Linked DNA regions of Xenopus tropicalis. The protein of the gene in region 1 purifies or fractionates together with the protein of each later gene. This does not show direct contact. Links are inferred from orthologs where the notes say so. Each region holds a gene or a part of one and is shown on either strand. Other genes may lie near its edges. The genes, in order: prdx1, uncharacterized protein LOC100170420 and prdx5.

Region 1 (4,235 bases):
GGGGGGGGGGGGGGGGTGTTAAGTGGAAAACTTTGCTGTCAAGAAAAAACATCTTTCCAAGACTAAAGGTTGCTCATGAAACACCTAGGCAAAAACCAGGATGTGTTTTGTACAGTCCAAGCAAAGTTATTTCACAACAGTACCAAAAGACTGCATTTTACTGCATTGACTGCATTTAATATCCCTGTTTATATTAATGTATTCTACTGTACAGCGCTGCGTACATAAGTAGCGCTTTATAAATAAAGTTATACATACATACATACTAGAACCAGATACGAACTGTGAAGTATTGTGGTGGGTACGGCCAGAACTAGAGGTAAGCAGAAGAGGCACATGCGTAGGGAGCAATGGTGGGGGGCGCTAGATACATGCGTAGGGAGCAATGGCGGGGGGCGCTAGATACATACAAATATTAGGCTGATGCCCTACAAAAGATCTCTGCTATCGTGGGTGACGAACTGCTCCAAAATGCCTTTCCACCAGCAACAATAGGTTGGCGGTAGAAAGCCCTTCACATTGCTTTGATTTTCTGAAGGTTTTCTTGCAGGTGGAAAGCCATTTTGGAGCGGTTAGTTGGCCGTGAAAGCAGAGATCTATTGTGGGCAACTGAATCGCTCCATGAGTCCTTAGCCTAAAGCAGTGGGTTCCAGTTCTGCTTCCTTTATAGTTACGCAACTGGTGCCAGGCGAGCTTGGCCCAGCTCTGGTGGTTTAAAGTTGTAGTTTGGTGCTGCTTTTCTGCATAATGGCCTGGGCTGATCTCCCAGGGTAGAAAATTGCACCCCTTCCCTGTTGGGGATGCTGGACAAAAACACTTTTTTACTTTGAGACTTAGCAGCTGCACCACTTCCCCCGCCATTCCTGGGCAGGCAGTGCACCACTGGAACCCCTGCTGTGCTTGGGCCCACTGTACCTGGCACAGCCTGCACAATTATTGGTATGATGCTTCCGTGTTTCTGATGGTGGCCCTAGAAGTAGCTAACAAGAAAGAGGCTTGAGGCATGTAGTGTTACATTTCAGCACAGAAAACAAGGAAACTTACTTTCAGACAGAAGCAACTGCAACTATTCTTCTTCACAAAAACACCAAAGTCTGCCCCAACCCGTTATACCTTTTTTTATTCACACCCTTTATATAGTTGCCTAAAGGTTCATTTGCTTCTAATTAGTGCGACGAGTAAAATAGACATGAGAATCTCCCCGGAGAAGGTGTGAAAGCCGCAAGTAACGAGGGGAGGGGATGAGGGGAAGGCAGAAGATGACAGGAGATGCTTCAGTAAGGAGAGGGGAGGGGAGGAGTGGAGCGGGCGGTGCTCGCCATATTTGCTGAATATAAAGCACTTACAAGGCTGTGCCGGTCTCCTCCTGCATTGCCTGATCTGCTTGGAACAGCCACAGCCATGTAAGTTACACATTCTGCCCGCGACATCTCCCTCCTAATCTTTAGCAGGGCCTCTCCATCGCTTCCGGCTGCTATTATTGTTGTGATGGGGGTGACGGGAGTTAAAGTTCTGTAAGTTGAAATCTGAAATATCAGCGCCTATCTGCTTCCTATTGTTCTCCCTATTGTGTTCCTACATTATCTTCTGCCATACTATAAAGCTCACAATGTAGCCCTGGAAACCCTGGTCACTAGTAGTAATGGGAGCACGACTCCTAGCATTGCGCATGCTGTAGTGAGTTGTAGTTCAGTAACAGATGGGGCATTCTTGCGTAATAACCCGGTGGGGGCTTTTGGTGGGATTATACTGAAAAGCCTTGAACTTGGGTTGAGCGCGGTTTGGGGCCCGGTTTAGAATGAATGACACCATCACTAGTTCTTCTGCACCTGCATCATTCTTGTGATTTCTTCTTGGGGGTTATATCCCATAGTTCCGTGCCGCCTCTGACAGAGCTCCCATTGTTACACAGAGCACTCCCTGCCGCCAGCTTCCTCTGCGTATGCGTGACAACTTCTAACCTCTGCAATGTCTGGCTTCCCTAGCTTTCTCTCTGTCCGGGCTTCCCTGCAGCCTAGTGATTTGCTTCTTTCTAAAAGGAAAAGTGACGAGTGCTGCAGAACATGTGAGGCTGGAGGGTGTGGGATATCCCTGCCTCAGCGGGATGACTAGTTATTCAGGGTTCTGCCCGACGTGAAACCTTTCCACCACCCATAACAGCTCAGGAACACTAGTAGAGGCACGTACTGTATGAGGGTTCCCGCCTAGCTACTTTTTTTTTTACCAGGCCAACAAAAATGATGCTTTGTCAGTGCTTTCAATAGTAGCTAGGGTGGCAGTGGTAGGAAGGTTAGTGTTCTTTAGCAGAAAAAGGGGTTAAAGGAACAGTAACACCAAAAAATGAAAGTGTTTTAAAGTAGTTGAAATATAACATACTGTTGCCCTGCACTGGTAAAACTGGGGTGTTTGCTTCAGGAACACTACTATAGTTTATATAAATAAGCTGCTGTGTAGCCATGGGGGCAGCCATTCAAGCTGGAAAAAAGGAGAAAAGGCACAGGTTACATAGCAAATAACAGATAAGACACCATTGTATTCTACTGGGTTTATCTATTATCTGCTATATAACATGTGCCTTTTCTTCTTTTGAATGGCTGCCCCCATGGCTACACACCAGGGTTTATATAAACTATAGTAATGTTTCTGAAGCAAACATACAATTTTTACCAGTGCAGGGCAGCAATACATTATAGTTTAATTTCTTTAAAATATATACATTTTTTACTGTTCCTTTTAAGATCTGCTTTTAACATTTCCATGCGTTGTTCTATGGCTGAAAGTGGAAGATGGTGGCCTGTATCTACAATGGTTTAAAAGGATTTGTCAAACTCACCACGTGTAAACAGGTATCCAGGCTTGGTTGTGCATACCCTTTAAGAGTGAGTTTAATATAGCATCTCTGGGTGGGGTGGGGGTATAATTTTCCTGGCGTGAGTAAAAAGAAATGATTTTTGGTTATGTTTCGCTGACTTGTCACTTCCCCTTTCCATATGAGTCTGGGGATGTTGAGGAAGAAATCTTGCGAAATGAATAAGAGCCATTGGCAATGTAGACTTCAGATTTGAAAAGAGAGAATTTCTTTTTAGGAATACATAGGATATAGAGCTATTTTGATACCTGCACTAGTCACTACGTTTGTGCATGTGGCACAGCCAACATGTTTGTCACACAGCAGCCACAATTCATAGCAGATATAATTGCCTTATTGCCCATAACATGAAATGCTGCACAGGACAGTGAAAAAAAGAAACATGCAGAATGTTCCTCTGAATGAACTGCCAAAATGCTTTATTTACTCCTCTAGAGCCTCGGGCATATCATACAATCAAGTGTATTTAAAATGCCACTTGTAAGGTCAATATGTGTGCCAGGTATCGAGACAGGTGATCTGGTAGAAGCTTCTCAAGGAACTGACACAACAGGTCATTTGCAAGCAGGTTTAACCCTGCGTGTTTATTAGCCCCTTCATCAGACATGATCTGATCATGATCAGACATTTTACAGGTTGTGTGTAATCAGAAACGGTGCTGTAGTTAACCATCAGCCCATATTCACCATCCAATGAACTTGAACCTGAACGTCGGCGGCTTTAGTTAGCTGCAGCACATTACTTTCTTGGCACTTTCTTTGTACAATTTCTTTCTACATTTCCCTGGTAAGTTAAAAAGGCAGGTTCTTAATCACGTACTGTATATGTTTTCTGTGCAAGACAGCTGGAGCAGCTGCTGATTCTGGCATCCTCACAAGTGTACCTTGAAATCAAACCATGGACTTCTGAATATGAATACATGTGTTCCATCTCTTGCTGTCAGACCCATGCTGCAGCCAACCCTCATATTGGGCTGATGCGGTGTGCTGAATTGCTCAGACCAAAAGCTTGATTCAGGTTATATGTACAAGTTGTTCTAACTGCACTTGCACAAAAAGTGATGCCTTATTTTTGTAAACTACACACACTCTTACATAAAATAGCTGGTGCTTTACAGATAAGTCCTTTTCCTGAGAATAATGTGACCAATTTCTTCCTGTTATTAAAAAAACCTTCCATGCTCTATGACATGTTTGTAAATGTTTGTTCATGGTATCTATGAAACAGAATATGAATCACAAGAGATCAACTGCAAGATATTGACCCTCAGTCAGGAAAAGGCCGAGATGCTGTGTAGAATTCTGTTGAATCTACAGATTTTCAGCAGAGCATACCTTTATGTGATAATATAAAAAGCTGCCCAGGG
Region 2 (4,125 bases), on another chromosome or scaffold:
ATAGGATCCCTTATCTGGAAATCTGTTCTCTGAATTACATTAAGCCTGTCCCCCATAGATTCCATTTTAATCAAATAATTCAGAATTGTGAAACTCATTTCCTTTTTCTCTGTAGTAATAAAACAGTATCTTGTGCTTGATCCCTACTAAGATATAAATAATCCTTACTGGATGCAAAACAACCCTATTGGGTTTAATTAATATTTTATTGATTTTTTAGACTTAAGGTATGGAGATCCAAGTTAAGGAAAGACCCCTTATCCGGAATACCCTGGGCCCTGAGCATTCTGGATAAGGGTTCCTATACCATTACTTGCTTGCTTTTATGTTTCTTGGCTATTAATAACATCAGCAAATATAAAAAATGCAACCCTATAACCTTTTATCTGCTCCTTTTAAACAGGGACAGTTATAAAAAGAAAGTGTATAGATACCCCCTATAAATATAGATACAGCTAATTTCTATTTAGGTTCCCAAGAAAATAAAAATATATGTACCCAAAAATTAGCCACTGGCAACAACATTTATACTACCGACATGAATGGACCCACACTGAACTCTGACTCTCCACATGACATTTTCTAGGAATAAATAACTCCTGTATTTCATTTTAACTCACGTTGCTATTACTTTTGACCTCAGTTAGTTAACTTCATACCATAGCTAAACCCGAATAATCTTATAGTACCAATTCATTTATTGCTTATAAAACACCGAGGCGAGCAGCAGCAGCCACGTTCTAAATCCGCCAACAAAAGCGGGCACTAAGCTACACAAGGCGCCTTGGGAACCAAGTCACGAGTAATTTTCTGCTATTAACCTCGCCCCTTCGCTAGGAACCGTTATACGCGCCTCCTCCCACTTGTCCCAGTTCACACGAGGCTGTTCTAGCCTTACTGAACTTGGCGCATTTCCTACAGTCCACTCCCTCTTCTCGGAATATCCTACCGCCATCTTCCCCTGACGCCATAATGCGGCCAGTGGTCCCTAGCCGCACCCATTGCCCAGACTCCCTTGTTGTGCGTAGTCCTCACGTGAAGGCGCTGATTTTGACCACGCCTTTACAACGCTGGCCTCTCTTTATTGGCTCGGATAGCTTAGTGACCCGCCCATTGCGCTCTAGACCGCGCCTTTTTTTACTTTGCTAGAATAGAAAGATATTGTTGTATACGCTATACACTAGCCCCGCCCATTCGCGGGCCCCTCCCCTCCCGGTAATTGCTAGACTTATCTCCTGAGGTTAGTGCTTTGCTGTGTCACGCTGAGTTTGAAGAAGTCGGCCGTCGCCACTGTCCAAAATGGTTCGACACGTTGAAAGTTTGGTAAGCAATTAATTGTATCATGAACGTTGTAAGTTGCTTGACTGAGAAAGATGCTTGGAAAGTACAGGCTTCTTATTTTCCTTTAGCATGAGGGGAAACGGGGACAGAGGAGCTAGTGCATCCTTATTCAGCATGGCTGGCAAATGCAAACAGCATGAGCAACACATTCCGTTTGAATTCTACTAACCCAAAAATAACATTCATTCAGATGTTCCTATTCGTTTATATTCGGATTATTAAAGTTGTGGTAGGTAGGGGAAGAGTGGCTGCTACAGCACTTAAAGGAACCCTCATCCTAAATTAATTACTGACCCAATGTAAAATAGCTAGGTAACTAGTAGTCTACGTATATTACCCATTTCAAAATGGTTTTTTTTGCACTTTGGGTGGCTAAATACAAAGAACATACTAACCAAAGCAAAAGTAGGTTCAAAGTTTGCTTTAGGGCTTCTGACCCTCCCCAAGCTATTAAATGTTTCCTTTCATTATTCAAACTGCAGTAGACCTATGCATGCTATCTGCTGACTGGTTGCTATGGGTATTCTACCTGGGGCAAACTTTGCACTATTGCAGCATTTTCTGTTAACTAGTTAAGGCTTTCCGACACACATTAATTTGACTTCTTTCTAAAAGACTAATATTAACACTGCTCCAGATCAGGGTCCTCAGAACAAGTGTTTTGAATGAGTACACCAGCGCTGACCTTCCTAACAAGAAATACAGCTTGGGTGATAATGCCAGTCAGTATGTAAGAGGTTAATCAGCTGACCCAGGACAGGATGAGATTGCATTTTGATGTTGATTCAAGCAGAATCAACATCAACACTGTTAGGCCAGTTTGTAATCCAATATCTAAATCTTCAAGGGTTCACTTTTAACCTGCATTTGGTTTAATTGCTACCGAGTAGCACACTATCTAGAAGAAGACTTAAAAATTGCATACTCCCATGCATTCTCAACATACCCTACTAAAAGAAATAAAAGAAAATGTTGTATAATTGAAACTGAGTAGGTTATGTTGCTCAAAATTCATCCTGTTTAATATTTTCTGGTTTAGGCCTCATGGAGATAAAAAGGGTACTTTCAGATGTGACTGGCTCAGGTTGGGTGAACTAGTTGGATTAGAATTTCACCTCTATTAAGATAAGAATGGATGCAAGAAAGAATGATTTTAAGAACACACTTCAGTTTTTCCATAGAATTTTCATAGATGTTAATTTGTTGGGATCATTTTCCACAGTTAAGTTGAACTGCTTGACAGATTTGCTTCTCAAATAATGCTAACATTCCTGAGCCTCATTCATGGTTATTGGAAACCAGAAGACTCGCTTAAAGCGCTTGTTCACCTTTGGGTTAACTTTTAGTATGATATAGAGAGTAATATTCTGAAACAATTTACGATTGGTCTTCTTCTATTTTTTTTTTGTAGTTTTTTTTAGATATTTCAGTTCAGGAGCTTTCCAGTTTGAATTTTCAGCAGTTATTTGGTTGCTAGGGTCCAAGTTACCTTAGCAACCAGGGAGTGGTGTGGATAAGTGACTGAAGTATGAATAGGAGAGGGCCTGAATAGAAAAGAAAGTTACAAAGAGTAACGATAAAACTGTCACCTCACAGAGCAATCGGGGTTTTTTTGGCTGCTGGGGTCAGTGACCCCCATTTGAAAACTGCAAAGAGCTGGAAGAAGGTTGCAAATAATAATAATAAAAAAAAAAAAAACTATAACAAATAAATAATGAAGACGATTGAAAATTTGCTTAGAATAGGTAATTCTATAACATACTAAAATTTAGCTTTAATGGGCAACTGTCTATTAAAGATGACATATAGTGAAAAAGTAATAAGTATTTGCCGTGGTATTATACACCAAAAATAGAAGAAAAACTCATTTAAAACTTTTGTGCACTGTTTTAATAAAAACTGATTTAAGAATTGTTTATGCTGCCAAGCCTTTCAGCATCTCTTGGGCACTTTCCCAGGCTGTTGAGCAATGGCAGCCCTTTGCCTTAAAGGATGCCAGCCAGCCTTTATCTTGCGCACCGCCACTGCAGTTTGATGTAGTTGTCAGAGAGCTGCCATGAAAGGGTGTGGTTTGCTAATAAATGGGAGGGGATTGGGTATCTAGTGGATATATTGGCATGGGCAGTTTTGACTTACTGGGCAGCTGTACAGTCATCGCTGATTTGTAACTGGGGAAGATTTATGGGAAGCTCCAGTAAAGGTACAAGTTTGATTGTAATTATTACACTACATAGGCTTCATATATTTATCATGGGTTTTGTGATGAGGGTGCTTTTGCCAGATGAGATAGCTATATATATATATATATATATATATATATAGCTATTTATTTTAAATAAATATTTGTGTAATTGTTTATTTCTCCCTAGCTTTCTCTTTGGGTACTGAGTGCTTTTGTACTTTTAGGGCACTCGTACAGGGTGATTCTCCATTAGAGAAACACTCCAAATTGGCATTTAAGCAAATCCATTTAAGTGAATTGCACTCTGTTCTTTTAAATGGATAATCACTCAGAAATACAGCAGTGAATATTTCTGAATGATCATCATCTGGTCCATGAGAGCACTGTGCAGAACCAGATGATTTCCATTCGGGTTACCAGAGGGGCAATTGGTAGCCCCTGCTTTGTGTCGGGTTTCCTGGACACATCCATTCATAAATTTACTAACATTGTTTGCATGTTTATTAAACAGTCAAAGTAATAATCACTTTCATTTATTTTCCCTCATGGGTATTTTCTTACAAGGTGTTTGTCAAGCACCAAGGGCGTTGTCTCTGTTAGCA
Region 3 (4,212 bases), about 56 Mb from region 1:
CCCTACTCTTCCTGTGTGTGCCATACTCTGCCTTCCCTACCCTGCCTGTGTGTGCCATACTCTGCCTGCCCTACTCTTCCTGTGTGTGCCATACTCTGCCTTCCCTACCCTGCCTGTGTGTGCCATACTCTGCCTGCCCTACTCTTCCTGTGTGTGCCATACTCTGCCTTCCCTACCCTGCCTGTGTGCCATACTCTGCTTGCCCTATGCTGCCTGTGTGTATGGCACACACAGGCAGCATACAGTGACACAATGCTGGCAGTGCTCCTACAGTCTGCACAATAACTATATATTAAAAAACTTTTTAATTGCAGTACCACCTCAGTATATGTTCTTTTTGTAGTGTGCAGGGATTATTTGTGGGTTTCTACTCCTCCTGAGGTGTGAACAGGGGAACAATATGGGTGATTACAGCCTGAGCCTGAGGTGTGAACACTACAGGGGGTGAACAATGCAGAGATTAAAAGGTGTGAACAACACAGGGGATTACATATTTAAACAATACAGAGGGATTACAGCCTGAATCAGAGGTGAGAACCATGCAGGGGGGGCAGTTAATCTCAGTACTGATACCATTTAAAGCTTACACAAGAGTAAGCCATCAAAGCAGCCAGACAGGTGGGGGGCCGCACAGAGGGGGGTTGCGGGCCGCCAGTTGGACAGCACTGGTCTATGGGGTGGGGGGGATCATTTAGCCTCGGATTTTCTGGGGGGGGGGGGGGTATCACTGTGCCTTGGATTTTCTTTTGGCCTATGGGGTGGGGGGATCACTGTGCCTGTGATTGGCTGGGGGGGTATCACTGTGCTTCTCATTTTCTGTGGGTGTGTATTACTGTGCCTCTGTTTTTCTGTGGGTTATGGGGGGATATCAGTGTGCCTCTCGCTTCTCCTTCTTTTTCAGCACTGAGAACAAGGATCTACATGAAGCGGGTATTTCTGTGCCGATTAGTAGGATTATCTAGTAAAGTGCTGCTGGCTGCTGACACATTTGAAACACACGGAGGCAGAACGAGCAGCCAGAGAGCCGCAAGAGAAAGTCGGGCGGCAACAACAAAGCTCCCTATGCACAAACCTGCCATACTGCCTGGCGGAATGCAATTTGGGGGAAGAACAGAACAGGCGGGACGGCATTACACCCCAATTGCAGCACTACTAACATTAAAGAAATAGTGAATAGAAAAAGTGCTACGTTCTGCCGCGAAACAAACCCCCCGCGCATGCGTCGTCAAACCTTAAAGGTTAAGGGCTTTGTCCGTGCGCGCATGCGCGCTAGGAATTTTTAAAAAGTCCTTGCCTGCCCTATAGGGGCGGAATTGCCGTGTCCCATCGGCTCAGCCCACTTTGGTTGTCATGGCTCTTCGGCTCCCCGTCTCATTCCTCCTCCTGTCACCTCTGCGAGCGGTTGGAAGTTTCGTGAGCAGAACAAGAGCCATGTCTGTAAAGGTGCGTATGTAGCGAGTAGCGGCTTGTAGTGGGCAGGTATGTGCGCTGGCACAGTGTAACCGGCAGCAATGTCCTGTGTGCGGCAGAGATTTCTCTGTGTGGGTATTGGCTGGATTCCACATCTCATACTACTGGGCAGCCTGTCAAATACGAGTTAGATTATATAAACGTGTGTGCCCTCCTTCCCTGGCATGCTGTGGCTCCTGCTTTCACTCCTTACTGTTCTTGGGTATGTTATCTGCTTGCCCAGGTACAACTAATAGATAGTAAGCTCTGCAGTGCACTTGTTGTATAAAATAATGAAGGACTGGAGTTTAAGATATATATATATATATATATATATACACACACATACATACAACATGCTGAAAAGCCAAACTGCTGTCACCAGAATTCCCAGTGGGTTTCCACGTCTTTGTATATTGCAACAGGGGAATTACTCCTGGCAATGATTATTTTAGTCTGGTTACAGTATCGCAGCTCTGGGCTAAGATTCTAAATACTGCAGGCTCTGCCTTATCAAGTACACAGAGGCCCAGTAGCAAGTGAGTGTCTATGGCATTTTAAGCAGAGCCTACAGATTGCCAGTCCGGGCCTGCAATAAGATAATCCAAATTCCAAGCAAAATTAAGGGGAAACTCCACCCAAATGTTTATTCATTTTTTGCATAGTGAAAGGAAATGTGATTCCAAGCTGGGGGTCCCTGACCTTTTTCACCTGAGTTGGGGTGCAACACAAGCATGAAAAATTTACCTGGGGGTACCAAATAAGCACTATGATTGGCTATTCGGTAGCCACTATGTGGACTGGCAGAAAGCTTTGTTTTTATGCAACCAGAACTTGCCTCTAAAGGTGGCCATACACGTGGCGATCTGACGATGTTTCGTACGACCATCGGTCGCACGAAACATCGTAAGATCCGCCACACACCATTCAGGGCTGAATCGGCAGGTAAGGAGGTAGAAAAAATAGGATTTCTACCTCCTTATGCCGATTCAGATCTGAAGGGAGAATTTTGGTCAGGCGCCTTCTATGGCGCCCGATCAAAATTTTCCAACTGGTCCGATCAGCAGGTTCCTGCGATATCGGTCGACTCGCCGACATACCATACACGCACCGATTATCGTACGAAACGAGGTTTCGTACGATAATATCGGTGCGTGTATGGCCACCTTAAGCCAGAAATTCAAATATAAGCAGCTGCTATGAGGCCACTGGGAGCAACATCTAAGGGTTGGGGAGCAACATGTTTCTCCTGAGCCACGGGTTGGGGACCACGGTTATAAGCAATGTTCCAATATACATATAACAATGAATGCTTCAAAGTTATTGGTACCTTCTAAAGCAACAGAGCAGAGGCTGGATAATATACCCAGAGAACTGATTTCAAATATATTGTTTGCAGAGAATCAAAACAGAAAGGGATAAAAAAAAACTTTTAGTTTTTTCAGTAGCAGTGACATTTACACATAACTCTTAAACAACTGAAAATGTGTAATGACTGTGTATTGGAAAGTTGCCTAGAATGTTCTTTTATTGTTGGGTATGCGCTGAGGATTCACCCTTCCCCCAAAATCTGCTTTAGGTGGTTAATAAGTGAAACACCCTACTAATACACCCATGTCAGTTTGTGGGACTCTACCACACCAGATTTGTCCAAATACCGAACCAAAGCCAAACACTAATTTGCATATGTAATTAACAACATTTGGAAAAAAACACAGCATTCAAAAAATAATCATCAACCTTCATCTGTCACATTGTCTAAAGTCATGTGATGTTTAGGGTTTGGATTCAGTTCGGCCAGGAATAAGGAGTCTTCTAAATCTGAAAATGATCAGATCTGGTATTCAATACTTTCCTAATTTTTGTATTGCTTCATCAGTACATCAGCCCACCTTACACACAACACTCTGACCCTGCTGCAAATCCATTATTCTTATATCCACTATTCTTATGCTCACAGGCTTCCCTCTTTGCTCTCCCTGCATGGTGCCAGGTAACAGCACCCACCTGTCAGACTTCCCTGAACACCTGTTTGCTGCCGAGACATAGGCTAGTGTGATGTTGGTCTATATTCAATATATACTTTATTTGCAGGGGACATATATGTGCCCAAGGCTAGGAACATATAGTTGTTTCTTATAATTTTCAGATTAATATGTGTAGTATTATGATATTAGCATGAAATATCCATTACTCTGAATACATTCATTATTTAGGAGCAGTGATCCATCCTGTTAAAGCTGCTTGCCATTTGTATAAGTGTATTGTCACAGAAGGACTACTGTAATTGCATATACACTGAAAGAAAAATAAGCCGTGGCAACCTGATACTGCTAATTGTTACCCAAAGCTGGTAACTGTAATCTTATACATGTCGCAATGAGGAAGAGACACCTTAATAAATTCCAGTGTCGTGTAAAGGAAATTACTTACACAATGGATTTCGGTTGTGGGCAAATCCCTGAGACAACTTTGTACACTTCCTTGTTATAGACAATTAATATTTCATTGGGGTTTTTTTTTTATTCAATACTTGCAGGTTGGAGATCAACTTCCTAATGTGACGGTGTATGAGGGGGGGCCTGGGAACAAGGTCAGCATCAGAGATGTGTTTGCTAACAAGAAGGGGGTGCTGTTTGGTGTCCCGGGGGCGTTCACTCCTGGCTGCTCCAAGGTAAAGGAAGAGAAGCATGATCAGGGAAATGGCACTTATATTGTAGTGTCACCCACTGTGACCTACAGCACTTATATTTGCCTACTTGT

What was found.
Region 2: the proteins of prdx1 (region 1) and uncharacterized protein LOC100170420 purify together in Homo sapiens (affinity purification with western blotting; 3 studies listed by BioGRID, with this or other methods). This does not show direct contact. The link is inferred for Xenopus tropicalis from reciprocal best matches to the Homo sapiens genes PRDX1 and TXN.
Region 3: the proteins of prdx1 (region 1) and prdx5 fractionate together in Homo sapiens (co-fractionation; 3 studies listed by BioGRID). This does not show direct contact. The link is inferred for Xenopus tropicalis from reciprocal best matches to the Homo sapiens genes PRDX1 and PRDX5.

What each region holds. Positions count from the first base shown.
Region 1 is NC_030680.2:90,370,393-90,374,627, forward strand, and holds the start of prdx1 (peroxiredoxin-1), read left to right. Parts: upstream 1-1,380; 5' UTR 1,381-1,403; exon of another isoform or gene 1,404-1,514; intron 1,515-4,235. UniProt on the Homo sapiens protein: Thiol-specific peroxidase that catalyzes the reduction of hydrogen peroxide and organic hydroperoxides to water and alcohols, respectively.
Region 2 is NC_030677.2:116,011,495-116,015,619, forward strand, and holds the start of uncharacterized protein LOC100170420, read left to right. Parts: upstream 1-1,261; 5' UTR 1,262-1,299; coding exon 1,300-1,323; intron 1,324-4,125. UniProt on the Homo sapiens protein: Participates in various redox reactions through the reversible oxidation of its active center dithiol to a disulfide and catalyzes dithiol-disulfide exchange reactions.
Region 3 is NC_030680.2:34,742,911-34,747,122, reverse strand, and holds the start of prdx5 (peroxiredoxin-5, mitochondrial), read left to right. Parts: upstream 1-1,356; 5' UTR 1,357-1,431; coding exon 1,432-1,443; intron 1,444-3,988; coding exon 3,989-4,123; intron 4,124-4,212. UniProt on the Homo sapiens protein: Thiol-specific peroxidase that catalyzes the reduction of hydrogen peroxide and organic hydroperoxides to water and alcohols, respectively.